Rhinolophus ferrumequinum: one gene and its partners. The protein of the gene in region 4 purifies or fractionates together with the protein of the main gene of each other region. This does not show direct contact. Links are inferred from orthologs where the notes say so. Each region holds a gene or a part of one and is shown on either strand. Other genes may lie near its edges.

The links.
Region 1: the proteins of POLR2E (region 4) and CRCP purify together in Homo sapiens (affinity purification with mass spectrometry; 3 studies listed by BioGRID and IntAct, with this or other methods). This does not show direct contact. The link is inferred for Rhinolophus ferrumequinum from reciprocal best matches to the Homo sapiens genes POLR2E and CRCP.
Region 2: the proteins of POLR2E (region 4) and POLR3E purify together in Homo sapiens (affinity purification with mass spectrometry; 5 studies listed by BioGRID and IntAct, counting the BioPlex papers as one, with this or other methods). This does not show direct contact. The link is inferred for Rhinolophus ferrumequinum from reciprocal best matches to the Homo sapiens genes POLR2E and POLR3E.
Region 3: the proteins of POLR2E (region 4) and POLR3C purify together in Homo sapiens (affinity purification with mass spectrometry; 4 studies listed by BioGRID and IntAct, counting the BioPlex papers as one, with this or other methods). This does not show direct contact. The link is inferred for Rhinolophus ferrumequinum from reciprocal best matches to the Homo sapiens genes POLR2E and POLR3C.

The regions. Positions count from the first base shown.
Region 1 is NC_046290.1:99,603,565-99,611,303, reverse strand, and holds the start of CRCP (DNA-directed RNA polymerase III subunit RPC9), read left to right. Parts: upstream 1-4,739; 5' UTR 4,740-4,873; coding exon 4,874-4,881; intron 4,882-7,739. UniProt on the Homo sapiens protein: DNA-dependent RNA polymerase catalyzes the transcription of DNA into RNA using the four ribonucleoside triphosphates as substrates.
Region 2 is NW_022680357.1:16,770,243-16,777,553, reverse strand, and holds the start of POLR3E (DNA-directed RNA polymerase III subunit RPC5), read right to left. Parts: upstream 3,013-7,311; 5' UTR 2,879-3,012; intron 1,579-2,878; 5' UTR 1,374-1,578; intron 1-1,373. UniProt on the Homo sapiens protein: DNA-dependent RNA polymerase catalyzes the transcription of DNA into RNA using the four ribonucleoside triphosphates as substrates.
Region 3 is NC_046305.1:50,080,734-50,088,193, reverse strand, and holds the start of POLR3C (DNA-directed RNA polymerase III subunit RPC3), read right to left. Parts: upstream 3,008-7,460; 5' UTR 2,856-3,007; intron 2,766-2,855; exon of another isoform or gene 2,590-2,765; intron 1,843-2,589; 5' UTR 1,823-1,842; coding exon 1,676-1,822; intron 1,189-1,675; coding exon 933-1,188; intron 824-932; coding exon 638-823; intron 1-637. Other genes in the region: E3 ubiquitin-protein ligase RNF115, read left to right, coding at 3,326-3,427. UniProt on the Homo sapiens protein: DNA-dependent RNA polymerase catalyzes the transcription of DNA into RNA using the four ribonucleoside triphosphates as substrates.
Region 4 is NC_046301.1:61,883,392-61,890,610, reverse strand, and holds the start of POLR2E (DNA-directed RNA polymerases I, II, and III subunit RPABC1), read right to left. Parts: upstream 3,003-7,219; 5' UTR 2,851-3,002; coding exon 2,794-2,850; intron 2,145-2,793; exon of another isoform or gene 1,634-2,144; coding exon of another isoform or gene 1,616-1,633; intron 1,080-1,615; coding exon 905-1,079; intron 1-904. UniProt on the Homo sapiens protein: DNA-dependent RNA polymerase catalyzes the transcription of DNA into RNA using the four ribonucleoside triphosphates as substrates.

The DNA of each region.
Region 1 (7,739 bases), on a different chromosome or scaffold from region 4:
GTGCCTTTGGATGAGAGGCAAATGCCTATGTAAACAGATGAACTTGAGACTTATTGCCAAATGACCGATCAGTGTACAGGCACAACGCATGAATAACGTGTGCACTTGATAACAAACGGACGTGGTTGTGTCCAATATGAATCTTCAGAATTCAATACATCATGTGTTGTAATGGATGTACTTATTGCACTCATGTGAAATAAAGAAACATTTTCTGAATTTTGGTGCCTACAATTTTTCGTCGCTTTTGTGTGGACCATCATCTTAACTGCCATCATTTTTGTTGCCACTCCTGTGTCGTAAGTCTTCAAGTAACACTTGATTTAATGGTAGATTTAAAGGGAATAATATTTTGATCCCCAGACAAGATGAGTGCAAAACAAAAGAGCTATTCCGTCGAGTACAAGAAAGGAATCGTGGGGGACTCCCGGGGCCAGAATCTTAAGGCTTTCTGCAAAGAGAAGAAGTTGGATCTCCGAATGGTTCAAAAATGGCGAGCAGAGTACAATAGCCTCAGTCAACAGGTGTACGAGGGAAACGCTAAGAAGCACAAGTGTGGATCAGGTCAGTAATCATTATTTCCTGAGCTGGAAGACATCATCTGTGAATGGACTGCTGACAGGAGAGCAAAGGCTTTGGTTGTGCACAGGGCTGATATTCAAGCATTTGACCTTGTAGTGGCACCACAGTTAGAAATACCCCAGAAGAATTCAAAGCCTCGCAACACTGGCTGGATGTCTTCCTTCAGCGATATGAACTGTCTCTAAGATCGACAACACTGTTAAAGCTGGAAGATACTGAAGTTATTAAACGTGCACTTGCATTCCAGTCCTTTGTCGATGGCAACAACTTTTATAAATACCAGCTCTCCAACATGATTGTTATGAATGAAACTGCAGTGTTTATGGGCCAAGGATCTCAAATGACAATTGATCAGAGGGGTGCCTCGTCAATCTACATTCCCTCCACTGGTTACAAAAGTGCATGTGTTACCTGTATTTTGGCAATTCTTCTGGGTGGAAAGAAAGCCCCACCTCTAATCGTCACTAAGGGCAAGAAAAATAAGTTTGAACATGTTTCAGGCATTTATGTTCTTGAAACCGAAAAAACCTGGTGCACACAAGCAGTTATAAGGAAGTGGGTCAATTTAATGCTGCCACTGGTTTTGCCAGGTGGCCAAAGAGGTCTGCTAGTCTGGGATTCAGCCAGCACTCACTGCGCTAAAGACATGAAGAACTTCCTTGCAGAGAGAATAGATCAAATAATTATTCCCGCAGGAATGACTGCCTGTCTCCAGACTCTTGATATGGCAATAAACAAGCCATTCAAGGACCATTTGTGTATGGAAATCAATGACTACATTGAAAATAGAATGGAGGGAAATCTGTGGAAACTTTGTGAAGCCTAGCCTGTAAGAGGTCGTGACTTGGGTGAAGAATTCATGGGATAAAATCACTGACAGCTGTGTTACTATTGCACTATGAGCAGGCTACATGGACAAGAAGTGCTCATTTAAGGAGCGCTCTATTGCTGGACATGAGAGATTGGGGCCAATGGTTCTACAGGAAATGGAGTCGCAAGAAATTCAAGCTGCAATTCGGGGTTTGGAGAGTTATGACGATGTTCCAGAAGAAGATGATGACATGACTATATTTGAATAAATGTGGATTTTTGTACATTAATAAATGTAGATTGTTGTACATGAAAAAATAAGACATCCCCTGAAAATAATCCCTAATCTGTTTTTTGGAGCAAAAATTAATATAAGACCGGTCTTATTTTCAGGGAAATACGGTAGATCAAATCCCTGGCATCAGGTAAGCAATAAGTCTTACTCTTCTAGACCTTCCCTGGGTGACTTAACTTGAAGGCTTCATTTCTACTTCAAAAGCTCCATCTCCTGATTTTCTTCTGAGCTCTAGACCTAATAGCTTCAGTGTTCAACAGAACTTTCCACTTGGAAGACATACAGACTTTGCTCAAATTCTGTGCTTTTGTTTATGTATTTGCTACCTCTGCTTAAAGGCCAGTTGTTGAAAAAGAAAAACAAGACACTTACTAGGTTTGTGTGCTTTGGGTGGCAAAGAACAGGGACTCATTAGGCATCCTCAAGTTAGGAAAGCTGCAAGGAGGCCCCGCCTGGGGCCAGTGCAGGTGGGAGTTTCAGCCTTTGATTGTCCCAGCTTGTTGGCTGGGTTAGCTCATCCTGCAGGATCCTTTTGGGCAGCCTTCCCCTGGGAGAGGGTCTCACTCCTGACTACAAAGCTGCTCGTAGGGGATAAGTCAGGTGACTGCATGTGATTCCCAAGGTCTTAGGGTGGCCACCCTTGGAGTACCTGGAGCTCAGCCATTTTATTGTGGGGCCTTCAGAGGCACTAGCCTCTCTTGTATGGAAGCTCATCCCTGCAGTTTTGTGTTTGTGTGCTCCTCCCCTCACCCAGCTCAAACCCCCTGACTTTATGATGCCTCTCCACCTCATTAGTCATTTCCTCCTCTGCTCCTTGTGTTTAAACACAACATATTGTAGTTATCGATATCCAGAGCTGGTTCCCAGACTAGGCTGTCAGCCAGGCAAGAAGTATACATTGTTCACATTTGTTTCACCACCGCCACTGTTTGCTGAGTACAGAACACATGTGTGTCTTTAGCACTGCTGGGGCCTGGGGTGGCATTTTATTAAAAAAAAATTTTAAGTAAATTAGTGTTTTTTAAAATAATATTTTTATAATTTAAAAATAACATGTACATTGAAAAATATTTTAAAAATTCTGAATGTGTAAAGTTAAATGTTAAAAATTCCCCTCAGTTCTCTTCTAATCCAATACCCATAGGCAAACACCAGTAAAACATTTTTTAACAGCTTTGTGGATATTCAATATTCGATTCAGATACCATGCAATTTGCCCACTTAAAGTCTACAAGTCAGTGTTTTTTTTAAGTATATTTATAGGGGTATGCAACTATTACTACAACCTAATTTTAGGACATCACTGTTTCCCCCAAAGAAACTCTGTATCTATTAACTGTCACTTAGCATTGCCTCCCCTCTCCCAGCCCTAAGCCATCAGTGATCAGTGATTAACTTTCTGTCTTTATAAATTTGCCTATTGTTGGACATTTCATATAAATGGGATCATAAAACATCTGGTCTTTTCTGTCTGGCTTCTTCCACTTAGTATGTTTTTGAGGGTCATCCATGTAGTAGCATGTATCAGTAACTCCATTCCTTTTATTGCTAAATATAGCATTGCATTGAATTAATATAGCACATTTTATTTATCCAATCATCAGTCACTATTAACAATTAAATACAATTCCTGTATTTGTTCAGATTCCCTGGGTTTGAATCCCTGCTGGGCAAGTTCTTAGATGAGTGATCTTGGGTGAATTGCAATCTCTCTAAGCCTGCCTCTATTTCCTCAATAATAAAATTTGAATAATGATGGGATTGACCTCATATAGTGTTATGGTTGTATTGTCACAGTAATTAATATTTGTTGAGCCCTTACTACATGCCAGGTACATTATAAGGATTACCTAACGGATCTATGATTTTCAGATTAGGGAATTGAGGTTAGGAGACGGTATGTCATCTCTCAAGGTCAAACAGTCCCTAAGAAAATGATGGAGGTAAACAGAATCACAGGCTCTCTGACTATAAAGCCTGCACAATTAACTGTTAATATCATGGAATAGCAAAGTGCTTAGCAAGGGCCTTACGAAGAGAATGAGTTTAGTAAATGATAACTAATAGAACTATAAAAAAGAAAAAAATAGCAATTGACTCATCATCTAAGGACACGTTCCACTGTTAATATTTTGGCACATTTCCATCCGGTCTTTAGGAAATATTTCAGATATATTAAAAAAAATCCAGAAAATAATAGACATCAACCTCCAACCCGTTTTGTATTCGTGCTGCCGAAGCGAGCACAACCTCCAACCCGTTTTTTTCCCTAAAAGGCTTGAAATGTGGTAGATTAGGTTGCTTTACCTCCCAAACCCTTATTTTTTCCTACGTATGCATTATTTTTCCTTAGGTTAGGGTCACACCACATCATTTTCTATCTTTAAAAAAACCCTATCTTGAGCATTTCCCCAGGGTACCAAATATGCTACATAACCTGTCATGGCCGCATGTTATACTATATGACTGAAACATGATTTATTAATTCCCCAGTGTTGGGCATTTAGACCATCTCCGAGTCAAAACATCACTACACGTTCATCTTTCTTAAAGCACCTGGTAATTGCCTTTGGTAAGTTCCTAGAAAGGCCGGAAGATCAGACTGTGCTTGACGGTAAGGCTCTTTATGCGTACTTTTCTTTTTTTGCCAAGTCGTTCTCAAGGAAGAATGGAAAGAGGGAGAAGGAAGGATGGGATTTTTTTCCCTTTTAAAATGTCTTATCCAATTAAAACATATATACACAAAAGTGGACATAAGTGTACAGCTCACTGAATTTTCAAAAACTGAACACACCGCGTACCCAGCACTCAGATCATGAAAAGATTATTTCCAGCAGCCCAAAGCCGCCTCACCCCCTCACCGTAACGTGTCCGAGGGGTACGATTTTAACGTCGCAAAGGTTTACTAATGCGGTGACGTCTTTGAAATCTTAACATGAGCTAAGTTCTGTGTGCAAACGCTTCACAGGCTGACGTCAGGCTGGGCGAATGGCACCTACACCTGAAAGAGAGCGCAGCCGCCCGTAAGGCTGCACCGCCCGGTCCGCCGGGCTCCCGGCGTGCAGCGCGGCGCTCCCGGCGTGCCCCGCGGCGCGCGGAGCGGGCGACCTGGCGTTCGACGCCGGCGGCCGTGAGGTTTGAGGTCGTGTGTGTGCTGGCGGCCGGAGGCGACGAGGCGGGGTCGGCATGGAAGTGTAAGCTGCCCGGGGCGCGTTTCCGGCTGTGGGCCGAGGCTCCTGGCGAGGGACGGCTGCATGCTGGGGGCCGAGAGGCGGGGACACCGGGCGACCCCCAGCCCGGGCTTGTGGGAAGAGTGACGCGGCGGAGGCGGGGAAGAAAGAGCCTCGCTTTGCCCTTCTGAACCTCCGCCCGCACTCCCACCCGGTGCCTAGGACTGGGGCCAAGTGCCTTTCACGGTGGCTGCCTCCTCCGTTATTCATTTACTAGCGTCTTCTAAGTCACAGTAGGGAGTCCGGCCGGGTGTCCGAGCGGGAACTCAGAAGGTAGAAAGCCTGGAGTCCGCCCTGGAAGTACCTACGGGACAGACGGATAAACTGTCCGAGGCAGTGGGCTCCTGGGCGGCCCTGACTCAGAAGTGCCACCCGAGTTTGATGAGGAGCAGTTAACCCTGGGAGGGAAGAGGCGAGTTTTCTGGGAAGAAGAAAGTGCTTGAGCCTGGATTGTAACCACGGAAAGAGCCGAGGAGAGAGAGAGAGAGGGAGGGAGGGAGGGAGGAAGGAACAGCCATTCTGACAGTTTAACTCCACCTGGTCTTTTTCATGTTTGCTCATTGTACTACATGCAAATGGAGCTTTTGCAGCTACTCTGCATGTGTGTTTTCACATGGTTGACATTAATTCGTACGCATACCTATATTGTGTCATCTTTGGCACTGATTATTTAATACATTTTTCTTTACGTTCTTTTGCCTCATGTTTAATGGTTATATATACTACTATTGTTCAAACTTAAAAAAAACACACAATACGTATATGTACCTTAAGTGAAAACTTAATGAAACAACACCTACCGTATGCAGTACACTTTGATATTGTCAAAACTACTGAAAAAGAGTCAGGAAGCTCTGGCTAGAAATAAATGAATAAAAATATTTAAATAAAAAGATTTATTCAAGGGTCTTAAGAGTTTGCTAAGTGGAAGCACAGCTAGGCAAAACTCTCAAGAAGTGTTCCGAAGAAGAAAGAAAAGTTGAGTTCTTGTAGTAAAAGTTATATCCTTGAGAATAAACAGTCCTGCATTTTAGGGCCTCTGATTGGTTGAGGACAGTTATCAGTCAGATGTCAGGTGGTCTGGATGATGAATGCCCATGGTCTGGAGGATGAGTGCCAGGAGGTCTGTTCTGAGTCCTTAGGAGTAGTCAGAGGGTTATCTGCAGGTTTGATGTATGTCTGGGCATTGACACTCAACAGACTGGTATATATCTAGGTATTGATGCAGGACTAGAAAGTTCCAAAGTTTCAGGTCCGGGGCTAGTTAAGAAAAGACAAAGAATCGTTTCCTCATACTTCAACCTTCATAATGTTAATAATTTAGCAGCTTGGTTAAAGTGACTCCATTTTATATTTTCCCCATCTTCATTCTTTCCTCAGTTTCTACTCATTTATTAAAAATGAATGTTGACCCTCTAAATTGATTTCGCTATTCACTAACGGGGTTTAATCTGCAACTGGAAAAATGTTCGTATTACTCTACCTCAAACCATCATTATCAATTTCCCCGTTTACTAGAGCATTTCCTGTCAGCATACAAACCTGCTTTAATTTATCTATATTAAAAACTTCCTTGTTTCCACATTCATGTCCACTTACTGCTCCATTTCTGCTTCCCATCATTCCTGTCACAACAAAACTTAGAAGTGTTGTGTATCCCCTCATTCACTCAATCATTCTGTTCGGCTTTAATCCTCACCAGTCTACAGAAATGGGTCTGTGAAGATCACCTGAGCCCTCCGTGTTGTCACTTCCAAAGGCTGATTTTCTGGCCTTAACTCTCTTGATCTCTTAGCAACAGTTGGTACAGAAACTAGAAACTCTCTTGGCTTTCTGACATGCTTACCTGGATTTCCTCCTGAAGACTTTCTCAGTCTCCTTTCCTGGCTCCCCCTTCCTCCCTTTCTTGGCTTCTAAATGTTGAGGTATCTTACGACTCATACTGGGACCCTTTTTCTCCACACTGTCTCCCCTGGTCATTGTACCCATCTATATGCTGATGATTCCCAAAAGTACATTTCTAGCCCTTTCCCCTCATCATTCATCCAGTTGCTTAGACCAAAAATCTAGCTTTTTTTTTTAAGGAGGTCGCAGTTCACAGTGGCCCATGTGGGGATCGAACCAGCAATCTTGGTATTATTAGCACCATGCTCTAACCAACTGAGCTCACTGGCCACCCCAAGAATCTAGCCTTTTTTCCTCACCCCTAAATCCAGTCCATCAGCCAGTTCTGTCATCTCCACTTTCAGAGTATATTTTAATGTAGTTGCTTCTAACCATGTGCAATACTAATTTTCTACTCCAACTCTGATCTGGATTAAGCAGTAGCCTTTTTTTAAATTAGTTTCAGGTGTACAAAACAATGTAATAGTTAGACATTTATCATTTATATCCCTCACAAAGTGACAACCCCCCTCCCCCCATCCACTACCCCTCTGACATCGCACAGAGCCATTACATTTCCACTGTCTCCATTCCTAATGCTGTACTCCACTTCTTGTATGTATATACATACATATAAATATATATATATATATACATATATATATATATATATATATATAAACTTGTAGTTGACATTCATTATTGTTCAGCTTCAGCTTCAGGTATACAGTGCAGTGATCAGGCATCTACATCATCCCTGAGGTGGTCTCCCTAATGAGACAAGTGTCCATCGGCTTCTCTATAAAATCTTTACATTATTGATTACATTCCCTAAACTTACTTTCCTATCCCCGTGGCCCTCTTGTGGTTACCACCTGCTTTCTAATCCCCCTCACCTTCCCCCTTATCCCTCCCCCATGTAGCAACCCTCAGGTTTT
Region 2 (7,311 bases), on a different chromosome or scaffold from region 4:
AGGGCTCACAGCCGTAACTGTCCTACCATGTTTCCCCAAAAATAAGATCTACCCAGAAAAGAAGGCCTAGCATGATTTTTCAGGATGATGTCCCCTAAACACAAGCCCTAAAGCGTCTTTTGGAGCAGAAATTAATATCATGTTTCCCCGAAAACAAGACCTAGCCGGACAATCAGCTCTAATGCGTCTTTTGCAGCAAACATTAATGTAAGACATAAGAGCGGGTCTTATATTAGGTCTTCTTTTCGGGGAAACACAGTGCTCTAAGTGATACAGTGATGGTTTCTACCCTTGCTCATGAAAATGAAAAGTGCTGGTTAATGTCCCCCTAAGTTGATTTCTCATCCCACAATTTGAAATAAATCTTCACCCACAATTTGGAAAGTACTGCTCTAGCAAGTCTTCCTGTGGTCTCTCTTTCCTACCTCCAGTCCTTCCAGAAACAGTCAGAGTTGTCCTGATAAAAGGGTAAATCACATCGTCTCCCTGCTCAAAACCCGTCGGCTGTCACACAGACTAAAACCCAAATGCCCTCCCAAGGCCCTAGGGGATCTTGCCCCTGCCTCTCCCTCATCACCCACCTAGGCAGGTGGGCCTCCTGCTGGGCCTGCAAGCCCAGCCTGCCTCAGGACCTTTGCACATCACCTCTGCTCCCCGGGTCTTTTCAGGCTGGCTCCTTTTCATGATGTCACCACTACCCCCACCCACACACAGGTTTCCTGACCACCCCATCTTAAAGCATCTGCACCCCAATCCCCGCCCCAGTCACTACCACATCTCCCTGCTCTGTTCCCTTCATGGTTCTTCTCACCATTGGAGCTACCGCGTCTATTTGCATATGTATCAGTCTTCTGCACTAGACTGTGAGCTGCAGGAGGGCCTCTCCACGCTCCCACCGGAAAGTGGGGAGAGTCACACTTACTTCAAGTTGTCAGGGGGTCATTCTCTCTCTTGAAATTCACCGTTATTCCAACACCTAGAACAGGGCTTGGCATGAAGGGTGCTCAGTGAAGTTCAAACAACCGAGTAAACGAATGGATGGAAGCAGGCAGTCACAAAGCCTCAACCCAGTGGGCCTAACTCCGCCCCAAGCAGAGAGGGGTGGCCTCCTGGACCCTTGAGAACAGCCAGGGACTGGCCACCCAGCCACAAGCCAAGCACCCCCGCCAGACCCAACCACCTGGGCCTCCGCAGGGTGTCCTGTGGCCACAAGGGGACTCGGTGACAGAGGCTCTGTGGCCTTGGACACAAGATACTTCCCTCCGCAGAGAGCTGCTCAACAAATGGACACCAGATGGAGCTAAGAGGGGTCCAGAGCAGAGGTACCTGAAGGCCACAATGGGGGGCATCTGTGCTGCACCCAGGAGTCTAACCTGTCGGCCAATCAGAGAGCAGCGGCAACTCCAAAAGCTGGTGAGGGAGGGAGAGGTCTGCGAGGACAAAACACAAAGGACTTGAGGGGACAGGGCCCCAGGACGAACAGTCTCAAGGCCTGGCTTCTAACTCGCTGTAGGCCCCTTGGACAAGGCAGCTCCCCTCTGCGTCACCCGATTCCACCTGTGTCATGGCAGAGTTGGCCTAGGGGACGAGAAGAACTAATTAAGCCTAAAGGAGGGTCGGTCGGACCCTTGTCTAGAGAGGACTTGGCATACGTTCTCACTGAACCTCCTCCAGAGCCCCCTAAGTCAAGACTGGCCACGATCACGGAGAGAGGACACGGGGGCTGGGAGCGTAAGTAGCTTGCCAAGGTCACGACACGGGGGAATGAATGACAGCAGCAGCACAGAACCCCGGGTCGAGCTAATGGCCAAGATCCTTCTTCTCATTCCTAACTGCTGTGCTGCACCCCGGCTCACAGAAGCGAGCTTGGCCTGGTGGGTAAGAGCCCAGACTCCCAAGCTGCGCGGCACAGGTTCAAGCCCCACGCGTGCCGCTCGCCGCCCGCGGCCCACCCGGACTTTCACCCTTTTCATCCTCCACATGGTGACACGTCCCGGCCCCCAGAGGCCGGTGATGAGAGTTAACTACCGTAATCGATGTGACCTGGGGCGGCCTGTGACCAGCAGGCAACCTGTTTTCCTTCCACGTAAAAGGGTCTGGGACCCAACCGCACACCGCACGCTGCAGGCTGGGGCCCCCCCACCCCCCGTGTCACCGTCCTCAGCCTTCACCACAGTCCAGGGAGGGAGAAAAGTCCGAGCCTGTTTCACAGGTGACGAAGCCGGAGCGACTGCTCAGACCTCCGCTTTCTGCCCCATCCCGACGACGCCCGAGCCAACCGCCCCGTCGGTGTTTACTGGTTTAACCCACCCGCTCACACCACTGACACCGGCCCGGCGGACCCGTCAGGAACGAACGCCGAGCGGGGGCCAGGGCGGCGGACGCGGAACGCCCGGACCGGGCCGCTGGGGATCAGCGGCGACGCCCGCAGGCTGGTATCGGCCGCCCCCGGCCACGCGGGGCGGGCCGCAGCGCGGACCCGCACCGTCCAGTGGGTTTCGCCTCCCCCACGCGCGGTCAGGCCCCTTCCTCACGCCCCGCCCCCGCAGCCACCACCACCGGCCGCCACGCTGGCCGGACACGGGCCTCCTCAGGACAGGTGTCCCCGCCGGAGGCCCGCCTGGGCCGAGCGGGGCAAGACGGCTGGATCCTGAGTCACCGCCCGAGGCCGCGGCCTCCCGGACACCGGGCCGACGTCGGAGTGCGCGTCCGGCCTGGGTCTCCCGGCGCCGGCTGCCTGTCCCTCCCGCACGAGTGCGGGTGGCCACAGCCCCCGGGCACAGCGCGGGCCTCCCGGCCTACTCCGCAGCACAGCCCCGGCCCAGCTCGCGCGTGTGGCCCGGCTCAGGCCCGGCGAGCGCTGCCACCGCGAACTCACCTCTCCGCGGCGGCCACGCGCGGGCGGCGGCAACGGCCTAGGTCCCCGCGGGCTGCACAAGCGGCGGCGGCTGGGCTCTCTGCTCAGGCAGCGGCCATGTTGCCAGTGGAGAAACTCCAGCGGACACGTGGGAGGAGCACGCCCGGCCGCACGCTTCCTTTTACCCACAATGCCCCGCCCCGGCGCCGCGCGGGCCCGCCCCCTGCGTCGCTCCATTCACGCCGGCCGCTAGCTCCGCGGGCAGCAGGGGGCGCTGGTGCACCTGCAAAACAGAGCGGAGAAGAACGTGGCATGAAGGCCCCAGGGGCAAAAGGGTGATCCTGGCAGCGGTGGGATTCGAACCCACGCCCCCGAAGAGACTGGAGCCTTAATCCAGCGCCTTAGACCGCTCGGCCACGCTACCTGTGTGATGCCTCCTTTTTCCAGAGAGCTATTTAACATCTTTACAAGCGATTGTAACGCCACGTTACTAGTTTAATATGTGGTTTTTTTTGCTCGTGATGAAAGTATTTAGAATACATGTAGTTAAAAGAAAATATTTGCTCTGCTATTTAGGCCCAGACTTGTTCCTGATAGGTTTTAAAGTGCAAAGCAGTTTAAGAGCTTGTATTGAGTCGGGCGTTTAACCAGGAGAGTTTAGGTTAACCCACGCGACTCGGGTTAGGAATCTCAGGGAGAAATGATGGGTTCCGGCAGTAACCCGCACCAGGGGCTTCGAAGGCTACCCCAGGGGAGCTGGGCACAAATAATACGTGAATTATTGCAAGATATTAAAACCTCTGACCCCATCCTAAGATGTAACCTCCGCAGATGTAACCATTGTCATCAGCTTAGTATACAGCCTTTGTATTTTTTGCTGTGAATTTATTTGGATATATTCATACAGATATAGGTATCTGTAGAAAAGAGATGTTTTGTTTTTAGTGAACATGGGTTTTTACATAAATATTATCATACTATTGGTATTGATATGCACTGGATTTTTTTCACCCAACTGTATTTTTGAAACATCTATCCATGTTGATGTATACAGGTGTTTAAAAACACAGAAAAAGTACAAAGGAAAAAATAACCATCCATATTCCCACCCTCTTAATATTATGGTATTTCACTTCCAATTCTTACCCTTTGTATACACTTTTATTACGCAGGGAATGGTATGAATATGTTGTCCTTTTAAAAATCCATTAAAAATTATATTACACCATTAGAAATAAAAATAAAGCCCCCTCCCAAACATTCTGCCCTGTTGTAACTATTGTCATGAATTTGATGTGTATCCTTCCAATCCACTTCTGACACTTCCATGTCTATATAAATATTTGGGTGTGTGTGTGTCTGTCTGTGTGTGTGTATATACCCATGAACAATGTATAGTACAGTCTTCTATTATGTTTTTCATTTATGTAAACATTACTACTGTGTACCAGTATCATTCTGCAACTTGTTTTACTCCAACATTATGTTTTTTAGGTCTATTATGGCACATATAGATCTAATCTGTTCCATACTATGAATATGGTCATTTTAAGTTGTTTATATTGTTATATTCAAGTTTCTGGTTAATATCCAGTTGGCACACAAGTTAACATTTGTGCACACGACTTAACATTCCATATTTCTACTCTTCAAGTCTACTTTAACCTGGTTTTATTTCTCCATTTACTTTTAACATAAGTGTTGCTATGCAAAGATTTCATTGCTCTAGGAGAGTTTGTTGTTTTTAAAGGCATTTTTTTAAAAATACAGAAGTAGCCGTTTATTGGGGATACAGGCTGGGCATTGTGGGGGGTTTAAAGCTAAATGAGGGATCGTCCCTGAGATCAATCGAAGCACTGATTTAGTCATGAGGCTGTAGAGCCAGGAAGGACTGTATTTGTGAGTTGTGTGCTGGGTTTTCCAAACGGAAAAGTTCCCATAGTGCAGGATAAGGGGTCTCTGCGTAATGCCACTTTTCTAGGAATTGCCTGATCAGCCCAGAGAGTGGGTCCCTGGCACCCACCTTTGTGCCGTGCATCCCTGCCCCACACCCCGGTCAGTGGGTTCCATGGGAACAGGCAACTCAGGTTGGACCACACAGATTCTCTTTTGAGAATCTGAATTGGGACAGGGTGAGTTCCTGATTTGTTCATTTGACTGTTTTCAGAGTTGGAGTTAGTCTCTGAGACTGAGTGGGACTAGGGAGAAAGGTGTACGTGGGGTGGCCAGTCTGTGAGGTGGATCGGAGGAGAGAAACACCAGTGCGTGGGAAAAGACAGAACAACGAAATGAAAAGAGCAGAGTCATAGAGAAGTCCTGCTTTTCTGGCTTCCAGCTCAGGACCCTTCCCAGGACCCAGTGGGATTCACGTTCCCGGAGGCAACCCTGTATCGTTGTAATAAAGCCCTTTTCTGCTAAAGCTGGTGCTACCTGGTAGCTGTCAGTTGTAACCAATAAACCTCACCCTCACATGGTAAGGAATCAAATGATGCTAGAGATATTTCTGCCAGAGCATTCTGTAGCAATTCAGGTCTGTCCCTACAGTACATGCTGAATGGGATACTTAAGGGAGTTTCTTGCAGTCTGGCAGCCCCATCACACAGCTGTCTGGTGACCATCAGAGGTGGGATTGAAGTGGAATGTTGCATCAGAACTCCTGGACCCACAGGGTCCCAGGAGCTCTAGGTAAGGGGAGGGAGGGAAGGGCTGAACCCTGGACTATCCCTTGGTGCGTTTACTTCCCTGTCCCTGACTAATGGGGCAGGTGGAGGGGAGAAAGGCTAGCACCCCAGATCAAACACTGCCCACTTGTCCCCCTCTGCCAATCTAGGGGCTGTCAGATGAAGGGTGTCTGTGTCTGTCTCTGTATCGTAAGCCCTTAGCAGTGGTCAGTGACGAAGGCAAGGAGGCTCAGTCTGAACCCCCTCCACACTTCACTCCCTTGCACCTGTCCAAGGAAAATCATTGCAAACCTGGTCTGAGACCAAACCTTCTTGCCACATGAATCTTCTTCTGGAAAGAAATGAACATTCCTAATAAAAATGCTTAAGCATTTTTCTTATGAAATCACTAGTATTGAGATTTGTGCTGGGAAATGCGTTCTCTACCCACCCAGTTGACGGGTCATTTGTCAGTGACCTTAAACCAAACATTCTTTTCTTTTCCTTTAGATTGTTCTAATCTGTCACCTTCTGCTTCCTAGATCTCCTCCACACTTGCCCTGGTACCTCTGCTTCTGAGGTCTGATTCTTTCAGTTTTACCTTCCATTCTGTAGACCACTCCCTTCCCCCCAAATTGCTTCTTTGCTAAAGCTAACCAGCTTTGATTTCTGTTACCTGCAACCAAGAAATCGACGTGACCACCTAGGCCTCCCCCAAAGGAACTTTGTCCCTTTAGTTGTGAACAGAGCACTGATACCCTTACCACGGTGACCATGGCACTTTTTTTCTGAAACAAATGTTTAATTCACGGGCATGAATCAGAACTCCCTGGTAAACTGGGACATGCGTTCATCTTACACCTTGCCCACTCAAAGCTCCATCTGACAGACCTGAATGAGATTTCCTGTGTTGAGTCAGATCAAACTGCAGGTTCCATGACTGGTGGCACCCTTCCATCAATTCCTGGGAAGTTCAGCCTTGGAAATACTTCTGGTGTCTTGGGAAGATGCTGCTAGGTCATGGGAATCAAGCATCAGTCGGCACTGTTTATGTTGGGACTACGATGACATCTGATCTTTGAACCTCTTTCTTTCTTGATCAATCAAAACATTCCTGGCAAATGCTTTCCCCATATGACCCTTTTAAGCCTCCTTTTTTTCATCTGTGAAATGGTCACAATACTGAGGTTTGTCGCCGGGTTAGAGATAACTGTATATACCCAGCCCAATGTCTGACATACATCATTGTTTCTAAGACACGTTTTCACATTTTAATATGTCGAAAATTGACCTACATCTTATGATCAATGTCATATAGTTTATTTTCAGTGTTTTTCTTATTAATTCATCAAATAATGGTGCATCTTAAGATCAAGGGTGTCTCAGATTCAATCAAACAGTAGATGCTCAATATATTAATTACTATAATGAATTTTTAATTTAGCGAAATTAGTATTTTTAACTTAGTAAATATTTTAAGTTCTTTAATTTGATAACGTTATCAAAGTTGTACATGAGTCCACTATCCATCCTACAAGGCTTATTATCAAAATTAGCAGTATGCCTACCCCTCTAGCCCCAGGCAAGCACTTCCAACTTCTGGCAGATTCTTCTGGTATGATATTTCTCTCCATAGGTCTAAACAATATGCTTATATTCCTGCTTTTTTCCCCTATCAGTTTTAGGCATTCTCTGTTGACTTCCTACTAATGAGGACAAGAATTTAACTCTAGCCACCTCCACCACCACAAACACTCCCCTTACTCCAACACCCCTAACAGTCATACTGTAATT
Region 3 (7,460 bases), on a different chromosome or scaffold from region 4:
TCCTCTGCTCTTAGGATAAAGAACAGATAGTCTATGAGGTCTTGCATGTCTAACCCCTGCCTATATCTCTAACCTTATCTCACGGTTCGCTTTCCTTTGTTCACCATGCGTTAATTAACTTACCTGCTTTTGCTTCCTCAAATACCCTATTCTTTTCTCAGTATACTGTTCCTTTTGCCAAAAATGTTTATCTTCTGTACCCCTTCATACCTTACCTCACTGGTTGGCTTCTACTTCCTGCTTCAAATCTGAGCTTAAATGCCACTTTTTCAAAGGAGCATGTGCCCCAAGTCCCGAAGTAAGTCCAGTCCCCTGTTATATATTTGCATAACACTTCATGCTTTTCCTTCACAGTATTTATCACAGTTTGTTAGTTATGCATCTATATGGTTATTTGATTAATGTAAGTTGCATACAGTAGACTTACGCCCTGAAAGGGTAGGGACCCTGATGGTTTTTCATCATTTTAGACCAAAGTATCTGGCACAGAGTAATTGCTCGATTCATTTAGTCACTCACTCATTCAACAATCACTAAGAAAGTATTTGCTCGATTCCTTCATTCATTCATTTAACAATCATTGAGAAAGAATCTACAATTAAGGCAAGTCACAAGTCCAGGGGTTCAAATTCCTTACCTATCAAGCTCAGTTTAGGAACCAGGTACATGTCCTTTTCATTGATGACAAGAGTGGGGGCAGGTGGTGGTGGCCCAGCGTCTGAATTCTCAGCGGCAGGCACCAAAGGGCAACGCTGTACAAAATGTGTGTCTGCTAGTCGCACAAATGTGTTTGCTACCTCAGCGTAGTCCATGGTCTTGCCGTCTGTACAACAGGAGGAAGAAGCAGGTGAGAGGGCTGAAGATAGCTGAGGGTCCGCTCCTGCAGCCAGCTAATGTATGCTTTTGCTAACAGCTATGGATACAGTACTAACCCTCCATAGTCTCTGTGAGCCGGTCTGCCACTTTCTTCACGACAGCTGACATTGTCATTTTGCCATTCAGCAGCAGCTCCTCAACAATCAGCTCTCCAGTGTCATTATACAGTGTTTTGGCAGTATAGATATAGCGGGGGTACCTGAGGATTCTCAACACCCGGCTGCACTGGGCTTCATACTCCACTACACCGCGTTTATGTACTTGATATATCACCAGGTTATGTTGGATGAGGACACAAAGGGCTTTTTTTACCTAGATAAGACCCAAAAGAAAGAGGGAAAAGATCTGGAGACAGCTCGTTATTGTTGGCAATTTTTGTTCAACAGTGTACTAAGCATCAGGAGAGGACCAGATAATTTCTGCGCTTTCTTCCCTCCGTTGGAATAGCTAATAAAAATCACATGTCAATGGAAGAAACCAGGAAGATTCCTTGTTGTGATGCTCATACTTTGATCTGTATCGTTCAAAGGACAATTAATTTCTCCTCTATTATTCTCATTCCTTAAAAGCATTACTGAGATTAATAGGCTCAACGTCAGTAAATGAGATATGGCAAAGGAAGAGCAAAGATTTGCCTAAGAGCCACGAGGAGCCAGGATCCTTTGCCCCCAAATAACACTGGTCTGATCCGAGAGCAGGATTTCCCCCTTTCCATTTCGTGAGGTAGGGAGTAACAATATTCAAAGGTAGGTAACAGAAATTAATGAAATGAAAGCAAATTAATATCATCCAAACATACCTGATCCAGGGATGTTCCTGTGTCATGGGCAATTACTCTTAGTGGCTGGCTGCCAGTTCTGATGAGGTGGACTCCAATTTTTTCCACAATCTCTCCAAAATGCTCTTGCAACAACAAAGAGCACAGTTTAATTTCTGCTTGAGTCATTGTACTGAGGGGACTCGGAGCTAGGAAGAAATAAAAAAGACTATATGATGGGAAGTTTTTATGTTGGGAGTAGAGCTGCTGAGTATAAATTCATGGACTTTCTGGAGGGCAATCTGACATTACATATCAAAAGCCTTTGACCTAATAACTTTGTTTTGGATACTCTGCTCTAAGGAAATCATAAAAGGATATCACTGTAGTTCTCTTTAGAATACTGCTATACTGGAAACAACCTAATGATTAACAATAAGAAATCAATTCAATAAATTATGGTATACCCACACAATGGAATACTACTTCAACATTTAAAATGATGTATAATATATACTAGCGTCGAAAATTGTTCATTAAGTGAAAGAAGCAGACTACAACCCAAAATATAGAGAAATATTCAATAATAAAAAGTCATGTATGCATATCAAGACTGGAAGACTATACATCACATTGATCTTTATGGGATTGTGTGTAATTCTAATTTTCTTTAAAGATAGGATTAGATGGTTTTGCAATGTCACAGACTTTATTTAGATTCTATACTTCGTTGTTTGGAAGAATTAAGACCACAGCCCATTGGGAGTGAACAGGCAGTGTCATTCCCAGTCTATAAAGGAAATGACAACTTAGAAGAGATTAAGAGGTAAAGGAGAGCTTCGCAACACGGTGTTTCAAATAGGAAATGGGGTATGTTGTCTTCAGGGCCATAGTCTGAAATTTCTACTTCTTGACAAAGTAGATACAGAAATAGACGTAGTTGACTATATAATTACTTTCTTATTATCCCAAGTGCTACCAAACATTAGTGCGTTCATTTATTTCTCCCAATTCCTCAGAAGCAAGTCTTTGCCTCTCGGCCTCAGTATCCCCGTCCACACGTCTCTGCGGAAGCATCCCCACACCCTTTGCCATCCTCGCAAAGGATTTGCAAGGATCTTGGCTCCTGGCTCTTTACTCCCTTCACGCAGGTTCCCGTTCGGGGCTTGGTGCCTCGGTCCAGAGAGCCGGCCGCCTCGTTCAGGCAGCATTTTCCACTAACCTCTGGGTCAAGGCAATCTAACGCCGCCGAGTTCCCTGCGGCGACTTCGCGCGGCTCCCGCTACCGCTATGGCAGGGGGAGCCCTCGGCCCTTTCTCGCAGGAGGACCGGCACCGCGGAGGACCCGGAAAGGGGTAAAACCTGGGCCGCTCTACCCCAGAGTCTCAGTGGTTTCTGGAGACGCTCTTTCTCTCTTCTCGCTGGTAGGTTGGAGGACAGGCGAAAGGCTGTCGGAGGAGCCGGCGGGCGGACTCTCCTTCCTGTGCCTCTTTAGTGCTGGAGGCGGGCCTTGGGGTCGCAGTCCGCGCCGACGCCCCGCCGCCTCACGTGACTGACCTGGGCGCTGGAGCTGCCGGCCAGAGTGAGGAAGCGGCGACCGAGGCGGCAGCGGAATCGACTGCACCCGGGAGGTAGCGGCCTGGCGAGGGACGGGCCGGCTGCCCTCTCGGACCGCCGCGGCGGAAGAGAAAAATGGCGGAGGCCTCGGCGGCCGGGGCGGGCTCAGGCGCCACCGTCGCCGCGCATCGGTTTTTCTGCCACTTCTGCAAGGGCGAGGTCAGCCCCAAACTACCGGTAAGAGCCCAGTGTCCCCTGCGTTTGGCGTTGGCGTGGATTCCTCGCCCCGGAGTCCCGGAATGGGTCTTCAGCTCCCCTCTACACCCTTGAAATCGGTCTCCCAGATGCTGCTGCCCACTGTCTCTGGTCGCTGACCCCAGACCCCGGGCGTCCCGATCCTGGCTGCTCCTGAACTCCCGCCCCGCCTTTTATCCCCCCTCGGACGCTCCACCTGCCCCTCACGCCCTCTCCTTTCTTGACCTGCCCCCCTCCACCTTTTTTCTTCCTTAGCAAGTCCTCTCCCCTGACAACTCGCCTTACTTTCCTTGCACTCTTCCTCACCTTGTGTCCTTCCCACAGTGACCTCGCCCCTGTCGAGACTCTTTCTGCTGCTGCAGCTTCTCGCCTTCCTCTGTTTCCTTTTCCCCTTTGCCTCCCCCCACACCCTACCCTTAATGAAGCCAAATAGCGGATCGATGAGGATGGCCTCTATTCGGTTGTCTCTAGGGAATGAAGCACGGGAAGAAGAGGGTTGGAAGGTAACTGGGGCGGAGGGGGATTTCGCTCTTCAGTGGTTTCCAGCGTTGTTGTGAAAGTGAAAACAGCAGTGTACTAACGACTCGCAGACTGTCCTCCCTCTCACTATTGAAGGAAATGGCTTTAGGAAGAAGGCAGGACATGTTGTTTCAACTTGGGTATTGTCGTTGTTGGCCTGCCAGGGTCTTGAGCACCACCCACCTGCCCCGCCCCTGTCCCATTCTGTCTCTTCGTGAAAAGATCCAGGACAGAATGCTGGGGACCGCGTCCTCTGACATAAATTGGTTTTCACCCGTTTCTGCCAGACGGTCAGTGCGTCCCTAGAGCGGTAGTGAAGACAGCGCTTCTGCAGCGTGCTGGCCAACCCCAGAAGCTGTTTGGGTTGGGTCCTAGTTTCTTCAGGGAGACACACCTGGGTGAATAGTAATCTCTTGGCCACCCATCTTTGGAATTAGTTAGGGTTCTTTTCCTTGGAAGTATCCAGGTTCAGTCTTAAGCCAGGGTGTCTCCCTAACAACTTAATTCTATAGTGTCTCTGATACAACCTATGAGAAAGCCTACTGAATTAAAGTATGTCTGTGTCTTATTTCTTGGACACACGAATGGAGTCCTGTGAATAAGCTCCTAAAGGGATTTTAACCTTTTCACCTAAAAGTTGTACTTTTTTTTTTTTAAAGGCTTTTATGGCATTTTCTTTCCTTTCTGTTTGCCCCAACTTCATAGATTCATCTTGTGAAACACAAAATTTGAACTTCATTGGCCTAGGTCTCAAGTCTTTGTAATGGAAAGGGTTTATTAGGCTATTGCCAGGCAAAAGAAAAGACTGTCTTGGGGCATCGAGTCTAAACCACCAGCTTGGTAGGAAAGAAGACATGTCCATCACCTGCGGAGTTTGCAAGTGTTTTTTGTTTTGTTTTTGTACATCAGGTAGCAGGAAGGGGGAAGAAAGGTGTAAACTGTCTGAGAGAATTTACATTCCATTAGCTATAGGCAAGGGGTGGGAAGTGGGGCCAGCTCTGGGATAGGCTCAGAGTCCACAAGAAGAAATGTCCCCTCCTGTGGATTGGCTGTGGGCAGCAGTCCGGAAAGCCCACGTGTAAACAAGAAGCGGAGGCTCCTGGAGGTCAGTGGTGCTTGGCTGGAATAATCTGCGGAAATAGCCACCTGGAAATTAATCCGAAATTCCTTCAGGCAATGGAAGGAATGTGAGCAATCTTTTGTCAGAGCTGGTCCACAGCTATTAACAGGCTAACTGTTCTGTCTGTCACTCTGGCCTCTGTAATTTTAATTTAAAACATCGCAGAATTTTCTTCTTGTCAGTGTACTTGTTACTTAGTTTGCTTGCGGATTTGTGTGTGCATGCACCTGTGCTTTGTGCCATGTTTCAGTGCGGGGAAGAGCAGGTGCCTTGTTTTTTTCCCAGGGGACATCAGAGCCCCCAGAAATCTCGCTGTCAACAAAGATGGAGCCTGGGATTTGTCCAGTATGTGTGTGACCAGTGACATGTTGAATGTGATGCTTTGTTGAACATCGTGACCTTAGTTCTTTCTTCTGGTCTTTTTAATCGTTGTTTACTTATTTGCCTTTAAGAGCTAGAAAACAGTCTAATTTTCCGCAACTTTTTTTATTTTTTAAAATCACCTGAAGGCCTCACTGTAAAGTGCTCTTGAAAAGTGATAATTTGAAAGACGGCAGGTGTTTTTCTAAATCTTAGTTTGATGCCCAGAGGTGAAGTTATTGATCTTTTTAGTCTGATTTATTATCTCTGATGCCAGGTTTGTAAATTGAGGCCTAACACAATTGAATTTAACAGGACTACTTCTGCATACCACAAGGTTCTAGGTTCTCTGCTAGATGTCCTCAAGGCAGTACCTAGGACTATGTGTGGTTCCTGCCCTTAGGGACCTCAAAAAGACAAGACTAACTGGAATAGTTAACAATAGTAGGTGAATGGGGATAGATAAGAAGTGCTTTAGAATTCATTCCTGCCCTTAGGGACCTCAGAAAGACTAGACAAACTGGAATAGTTAACAATATAAGGTGAATGGGGATAGGTAAGAAGTGCTTTAGAATTCAGAGGGAGGGAGATCCCGGATGATAGCATTGGCGAGGCCAAAGAAAGAGTGAGAGATGGGTTTTAAATTGAGTTCTGCAGGCTAGGTAGAATTCCGATTGCGGAGAATAGCATAGACTAAGGGAGGAAAGGAAGAGTGAGTTGAGGGAGAAGAGAGAAACATTTAGGAAGTCACTGTTACACATTTTTAAGAAAAGGTGCAGTGATGTCAGAGGTAGAGTTTTGATGCGCAGATCAGCCAGTGAGCTTCATCTTGTTTCATGACCGTTTCTATCTCCTGAACCCAGACTGTCATCTGGAAAATGTTGGTTGGAAGAATGACAGGTCAGTAAGTGGCTGATTCAGTACGAATCTGTCTCTGTTGCTAGCTAAACGCTAACTCAAACACTGTTAAGTCAGTAGTATGACTGTTCATATGTATAGGACACGCTGAAAAGATTTTTAAAATAATTTTTTGTATAAACTTGAGATTCCCTCGCTGTAAGGACTCAGCATATATTAGGCATGCATTGTTTCTTCAGTTGGATGAAAGTTTCGGGAAATCTGCATGTCTTTTTGAAGAGAGCTAGACCCAACTTAACACGAATAAAGTTTTTCTTTGTCTTGACTTATTTTGCATTTCAAGGGGGTACTTTTGTGCAAGTTGGATCACGGGAACCATCACCCATGAGTGCTGTCCTCTGAACACCTGAGGCTGAGTACTGAGTTTTACATCAGCTTTTAATGAGCTGTAGCTTCGTAGGTAAGTTTCTTCTCCCAATCAGTGGGAAAGACTGCGTCACAGCCATCTCACGTCTTGCCCGTTTATTCACTGCATAGCAGAGTCATAATTGTGTTAGTGGGACTAGGCTGCGAGGTTTTGACAACTTTTACTTTTCCCTTCTGCAGTCTCTAGGATACAGCTCTTCTTGATACATTTGGAAGTGTGTGTAGGCAATAGCAATAGCTTACCTAACGTTTGCCCTGAAACTACCTTAGGTTTTTATCATTTTTCTTGTCAGTTCTACTCTATATTAGTGTCTATGTTAGAAGAAATAGTTTTGGCTATAACTTCAGGGAGAAATTGGAATATGCCTAAAGCTATACAGGTTAAGCCACATTCGGTTGAATGAATTTGGTGAAGTAACTCCTTACTGCTGATCCTAATCTATCCATTTTAGCTTCGTGTGTCTGGTTTGGATCCTCCCAGATAAGAGAACAAAAGTTTCATTTAGAAAGAAGATAGGAAATGTGGGGAAACCATGAAGGGAATTTTACAATGAAAATGATCAGTGCTGCTGTTATCTGTTAGGCTTCAAAAGAGTCTACGTTCTAGAAGTGAATATTGATTTGGAAATCTCTTTCTCTTTAAGAGTGTTTTCCTGTTTACGGTGAAAACTATAGTTCTCTTTAGAATACTGATATACTGGAAGCACCCTAATGATTAACAGTAAGAAATCA
Region 4 (7,219 bases):
AAGCAACCCAACGGACACCTTGATCTTGGCCTTCCAGCCTCTAGTGACAGGGACAAGCAATGGCTGTTGTTCTGTGCTGGTGTTATGGCAGCTGAAGCAGACCAACACAGGCAGGAGCATCAGCCTGTTCTGCAGCACGTCCCAGGGCCAGTGGCCCCAGCATCACCAAAGACCCACAAGAGCCGTCAAACCTCCTAGTCCTGGCCCTGAAGGTCTGCAGATGGCTCCATGGGACGCCAATGAGTAGGCACCAAGGGCTTCAATAACCACATCTCATACACAGGACACTTTTCTGAAAAAGTGCGACAAGGTTCCGCTCTGCAAACACTGTCTGCCCAGCCCCTTGATTCTCAGTGCAGGGTGCCCCAAGATGCTGGACACTGCTGGCCCCTAACTTCTGCAGGCCTTAGAGCCAGTCGACACCAGCGGGTTAGACACTAAGACAGAGGAACAAGGGGTCCCCAACACACCCCTAAGTGGGCTCGTCACTCAATCTGGGGCTCAGCGGGGGGCCGTGAGCAGCAGTGCAGGAAGGAGCTGGTGGGAGTGGAAGCTGCACTCACAGGTGAGAGGTGGGGCAGAGAGGACAGAGTGGGTCTGAGGTCAGGAGTGGTTGGGGCCCTGGCGGGAAGGTCTATGGTAATCCTGGTCGGAGAAAATGGCTGAGGAAGAGAGAATGGGGAAGTGGATTGAGGAGGAAACTGGAAAAGGCTCTTGGAGGGGTCAGAGGTCAGTGGTATCACCCACAGCATGAAGGAGCTCTCTCCTCAGGGTAGGCAGAAGGAAAAGGGCCACCGTTGACTCTGAGTCACACAGCAGGGGGCTGCGATGAGCTGGACCCTGCGCTGCCGCTCGGCTGGCCCGACTAGAACCATGACACCTCAGGCACTGGCAAGGCCCTCACCTGGGAAGAAGACAAACATCTGGTCAGTGGGGTCATCATTGTGGGCCACCAGCACTGTGAGGTCCGTGCGCCGCGGCCGCCCTTCACTTGGCTTGTCCCCGAACTGGGCTTTGAACTCCTCCAGCGTCTGGTCCAACTCATCCTGCGTCACCAGGTAGCCACGGTCATGGCACAGCTGTGGACAGAAAGAGCCAGGTGACCCCAGGGCAGAGGGGGAAGTGCAGCAAGAGCCTGGGCGTGATGAGGCCACCGTGAGGATGACGCAGGGAGTTTGGGACCGTGTGGCAGGTGTGTGCAGAGGCCAGAGAAGAGGGACAGGGCAGGTGGGGACAAAGACCGGGTGCCTCTGAGGCTGCCCCTGCACTGCTCCGGTTACAAGCTGCCGTCCATAGTGTCATTTTATGCTGAACCTCGGGGCAGCCGTAATTGGGGAGCAAATAGCAGTAGGGCTGGGACTTAAGGTGGGGCTCTTTGAGGCCAGAGCCAGCCCTGGGGTCTGGGGCAGAGGGAGACAGCCAGGTGGGAAGGGTAGACTCTAGGGGCTCTGAGGGTGGCACTTCTGGGTCTCACCTCAGAAATCGGGGCTCTTTGAATGGGCTGACTAGAAGACCCATTGAAGAAAGGGGAGGTCAGAGAGCAGCCCTACACCCATCCCCTTTCCTCTGTGAAGTCCCCACAGCCTGATTCCCTCTCAGGATCCCCAACACCCACCGTCAGCCTGAAGCACATGTGTTTTGGTCCCTGTCTGTCGTAGCTTCACAAAGCGGTGGAGAGGCGGGGTGCGGCTGCGCAGGTTTAGTCCCGGCAGGATTCCTGCGCCGCTGGGTGATCTTGGTCAAGACCCCACACCTCCGTGGGCCTCCGAGGATCACCCTGGCCTCTTCCGTGGGGTGGGTTAAAGTATGTGGCATATAGTGACTGCTTAGCCAGCTGGCTGCTGTCACTCTAGTATCTAGAGTAACTCCAAGTTGCTGGCTGAGGCGTTGAAGTAGCCACCGGACACAGGTCTGAGAGATATGCCTGCACTGGATGGCAGGTCAGATCAGCTGACCCGGGTTTCTTCCAACCCCACAAGACTGGGATTCTGTGTCACGTACGTGGGGTAATGCTGGAGGATTCCAGGAAGTAAACAAGTGGAAGACCAGGTGGTCTTTCGTGTACTGTCTCTCTCTCTCTCCAGCTCAAGTAAGGCAGTGGGTGAAAACTGGCTTCCATGGGAAGTTAACCTCACAGGGTGATCTGATCCTAAACCCCTAACTGGGAAGGTCACGGGGGGTGGTCACACCCAGGTGTATAACTTTCTTAGTAAAAGGCTTGTCTTGGCCTGTCCATTGTTCATGTGCATCTAGGTTCACACACCTTTGAAATCAGCGTTACCACCCTCACAAAGAGTTAATCTCGTTAACTATTCCCTAATCCAGTTCCACCTGGCTTTCTCCCACCTCCCTGTCATCTTCCTCACCTTCCCTCCTTAATTCCAAATGCACAAAAGAAACTGCAGAACTCGAAGCATTTGGGATCGAAGGATTTGCTTCTTGGCATGTCGTCAAATAAACTCTTCCAAATATTCTCTACAGAGTCGTTCGGACCTTTCTTACGTCCGCAAGACCCTGACACGGAGAGGGCGAACATCCTAGGCAGACAGACCCGACTCCAGCACCTCGGACTCACGACTGGGCCGCGCGCGGGTCTGTGGGGTCCCTTAGGCCTGCAGAGACCCTCGATGCAGCCCCGGGAGCCGCCTTGGTCCAACTCCTCCACTCCACCCGCTCGGGCGGGGGTCGTGGAGGCTGGTTCCCGTTTGCAGCCTTTGCACTCATCGTCCGCCCCCCGGACCGCTGCGTGTCCGGCTCGCCTGGCGCAGCGAGGCCGGCCCTCTCCGCGCTCACCTGCATGATGGTTTTGCGGATCTTCCAAAGCCGGTAGGTCTCCTCTTCGTCGTCCATGCCTGCCGCCACTCACACTCACTGCGTCTGCGCCCGGCGGGACCCGCGCCTACTGAGCCTGCGCCCAGCCCCGGTCAGGCCCCACTCAGCTCAGGGCTGTCGCCAGCGAACGCCTGAACGCAGCGACCTCCGGGAGCAGCAGCGCCAAGGGCAACCCGAACCTTTCGAGAGAGATGGTTGGCTGCGCGAGAGACGTGCGAATGGCGTCGCCCACCTTCGCCTCGGAAGGTCTCGCGTGGTTTTGGGCGCAAGTTGTAGTTTCCGCTCAACGCCCGCCTCGGGACGTCCCGGCCGTTTAGAATCCCTACAGGCAGAAGCGAAAAAACGGAGGGCGGGGAAACTGCGGCCCGGATGGGATCGGGGGTCTGCTCTCCTCCCAGGAACGGATGGGTGGCCTAGGAGACGCTACATAAATATTTATGCATCCAACTGTAGGGGGTCCTCTTAGTTGCCTCTTGATCACATCCAACCTAATGGCCCCAGCTTCATTTTTCCCTGTCTGTACATTGGAATTTATAAAATGTCTCCATTTTAGAGGATTAGCTGAGGATCTAAAGGGGCTCCCGTGCTTGGGAGGTTGGTATAGCTCCTGGTGCTTATGTTGGGCTCCCACCTCTGTCCTCCCCACTTCGTCCCCTGAACCCCAGCCCGCCTCTGCCTGGATACCCCACCACCCAGTTCATACAGGAAGCTCAGCCAGCAGCCCAGCCCCTGACACTTAGGAGGCCATGAGTAACTTCTCATTCATTGATACATTCATTCAATCAGATACCGCCAACCACAGGGCAGGGAAGAAGCCAAGCACCCCCTTACATTCCAGGGAGAGTATAGACAGTGAACATAATAGACTGTGGACGGAAAAGGGGCCACACATTAAACCTGACACGTTCAGGAGACTGAAAATAACCACATAAGATGGCGTGAGCATAAAAATAATTTCGTAACTAAGTGGGCCATGGCAGGAAGTCGTATCTTTAGCCAAAAGCTTCCTTCATAAAGTTCATCTGTGCCTTTAAGAGGACCTGTCTATTGTCTTTTTGCACCTAAGATGACATCCTTGGAATGTCAGTAATTGCTATTTCCGGACCAGAGCAGGAAAGTACACGATCTCTCATTATTATTCTTGTCCCTTGGTTAACATCTCTATGAGAACTATTAACTGTCCTGTACCCACCTATGTGAAAGAAGTACCTGTCTCTCGAATTTACTTTTATCCAATCCCAGAGATTTCCCCGCTTTGCTTTCTCCCACCTCCTTAATCTACCACCAGTGGATTTCATGTAACCCTCCTCCTTTGATTCTCTGTATAAAACAAGCTGCAATCCGCCATTTCGCGGAGCATTTTCTTAGTCCGTTGAGATTTTACTTCCCAGCAGTTGTCGTCACTTTGACTCAAGTACACTCTTATAAGCTTTTTCTTAGGCTTTTTCTTTCTGGATGTTTTTCGTTGACATTTCTTTGCATAGTCAGCAGGATTCCAAAGAAACCCACCCAGGACCACCCTGCGGACCAGGATTCGGTGCTCGGTACCAGCAGAGCCCATTGTGCCCCACCGGCTCCCTGCCTCTCATCGGGTGAACTTGAGTGAGTTTTTCTTGGAATTTTGGACCTTCCTGTTTTAAGGTAGGAGGTCCTGACTTTATTTGAGCTGTTTGTTTGCTTGTATTTTAAACCTCGAGTTGGCGTTAAAGGTTAAGGGTTGAGATAACCCAGGTTAAGGATAAAGAGTTAAGATAACTTGGGGACAGGAGGGAAAAATGGGTGGCTGGTTTTAATTTTGGCTTTTCAATTGGAATTGTTTACTGCGAGTCTGAACAAAACTTTTTGCTGGATAAATGAGAGTCTGAACTTGTTGAACTCCGAAGATAAGGGGCATTTACTCCCTCCAGCTCGAATTTCGGGTATTCTTAGGTGACTAAGAATCTTTGTGGAGGTGTTTGGGGGTACTCCTCAAAACATGCAGTGGCCTCAGAGGCCACTGCAATTAAATATTTGCACATTTATATACACAACTAAATGCACAATTAAATACACAACTGCAATTAAATATTTGACTCGTCCGGGGACGCGCACATAAAGACTGGTTACCTAGCGCTCCGAGTCCTCATGGTTGTACTAGACAGCTGGGGAGAGAAACTGAGGCACATAAGAGGGTTGGAGCGACTCGGGAGGTAACAGCCCCTTGGAGCTCCACCCATAAGCAGCACACTTGAACTCACTACACAATATCACTAGAAATTTGTGCAGACTCTGCAGATCTCAAAAGAAAACTAAAAATTAACGTGGGAAGTAGTGCCTCTAAGGCTGACAAGCTCCCAGACCCCACCTCCATTAATTCCCCTGCAGATGTACAGTTTCTAGGGAGTCTACTTGCAAGTACTTACAGACATGGAAAGGTTTAACTAGAAGTGATATCAACTTCAGATGGCCAAAATGGAGCTCTTTCGACATCTAAATTAATATTTTTTGTGCACAATTAGAAAAAGCCGGCTTAAAAACCAAACTAAATGGAATGGGATGCTTACCTCAATTGGCAAATAGAAAGAAGCCTCTGAAATGGAATAGAGAGACAGTCTTCTCTCCAGGAAGTTAGTAAGGAAATTTTAGATACCGTCTCAAAACTGAAGAAGGTTCCTGCAGCTGCTCAGTGCCAGCACCGCACTTTGCCCTCTCCTCCGACTGTCCCACTGTGTGCTTTACCTGTCTGCACCTGCTCGCCTTTTCCTCCATCTGTCTTCTGCCACTCTGTTCCAGCTCCCTTTGGAGAGGAGCTGGTCTTGGGCGGAGGGGAAGGGAATCCGCGGTTAAAATTTTGCTAGGGAAACTACTGTAGAGGAATCTGCTTTTATTGTAAAAAGACAAGTTACCTTAAGGATTGTAGGAAACTAAAATAGGTTTAAGAAAAATAAAAGAAATAGAAGCGAGCATAGGGCTGCTCCAAGGACTATGAGGGCTTTTCCCCTTCTTACTAACACTGGGGCTACTTTCTCTGTTAACACCACCAGGCTAAGTTGCCCTCTCCCTTGGAGTAAAGCTTCTGTACAAATGGTAGGGACATCTAATCAACCAATGTCTGTTTAAATCAGAACCCATTCCTCTCTAGCTAGGAAATGTTAAGTGGCAACATCTATTTTTACTACTCAAATCTGCCCCAATTCACCTGATAGTGTGAGACTTTGTCACCAATGATACTCACATATCCTCCCAGAAGGATGAAATGTATTTAGGACTAAATGAATCAGATTGGGAATGGGAAAATAATGATTTTAAAAGAAACAATATGAGAGGAAACTAGTCTTGATACTGACGGAGTGTTTGTTACAGGATGTTCCAATACAATTTTAGGCTTTCTCCAGTACAGATATTGATTGGCAATATTAAGTTAGCCACTCCCATTAAAGTAACTATTGACAGTTCTTTGCCTCTACCTAATTATTTGCCAATATCCTTTGAAGCCTGATACACCAGCTGGAATTAGCTCATTATACAAGATTACCTTTAACGGGGGGCTTATCATTCCAGGTGTGAGCACCTGTAATTCTCCTATCCTTCCAGTAGAGAAACCCAATGGGAAAGGATGGAGATTTGCACAGGATCTCAGAGCTTTAAATAGATATCCTATGGTTCCAAATCCACATACCCTATTATCAGCTATTCCTGTGTGTACTGCCAATATTTTCAGTGATAGATTTATGTAGTACCCTTTTCAGTATTCATGTAAAAAAAAAAAAGAAAAAGAAAAAGACAGGAACTATCTCTGCTTTTCCACCTGGGAAGATCAGAGTTTACTTGGACAGTAATATCCCAGGGGTGTACACCTATTTCTCTCAGATACTAAAAGCTGATTTGAATAATGTTGAATTTCCCAGAAATTCTACTCTAATCCAATAATATATGGATGATTTATTCTTATGCTATATGCAATAGCTTCCATGGTAAACCTAGATTTGAGTTTCTTATTTACTTGAATAAGATCAGCCCACCAAACTGAATTAATTGATCTAACAGGAGCTTGTAAATGAGCCGAAGATCAAATAGCCAATATTTACTCTAATAGTTTCTATACGTTTGATGTAGCTCACAACTTGTTATGGAAGCAGTGAGGCTTCTTAACTTCCTCAGGACAGCCCATAAGGACGGAAAACAGGCTGCAGGGGGAGGCGGAAGAAGGGGGCGGGGGAAAAACAGGCGGCAGAATTCAATTTAGATGTCATACAGCAACCAAAACAATTGGCAATTATCAAAATTCCAGGACATTCTAAGGCTGCCATCATAGAAGGAAAAGAAAATAATTTAGCTGATAACCGCAGCTAGACCGGCAGCAATAAACAGCCAAATTATCCAGATTTGAGAATGTTTCTTCTCCCTA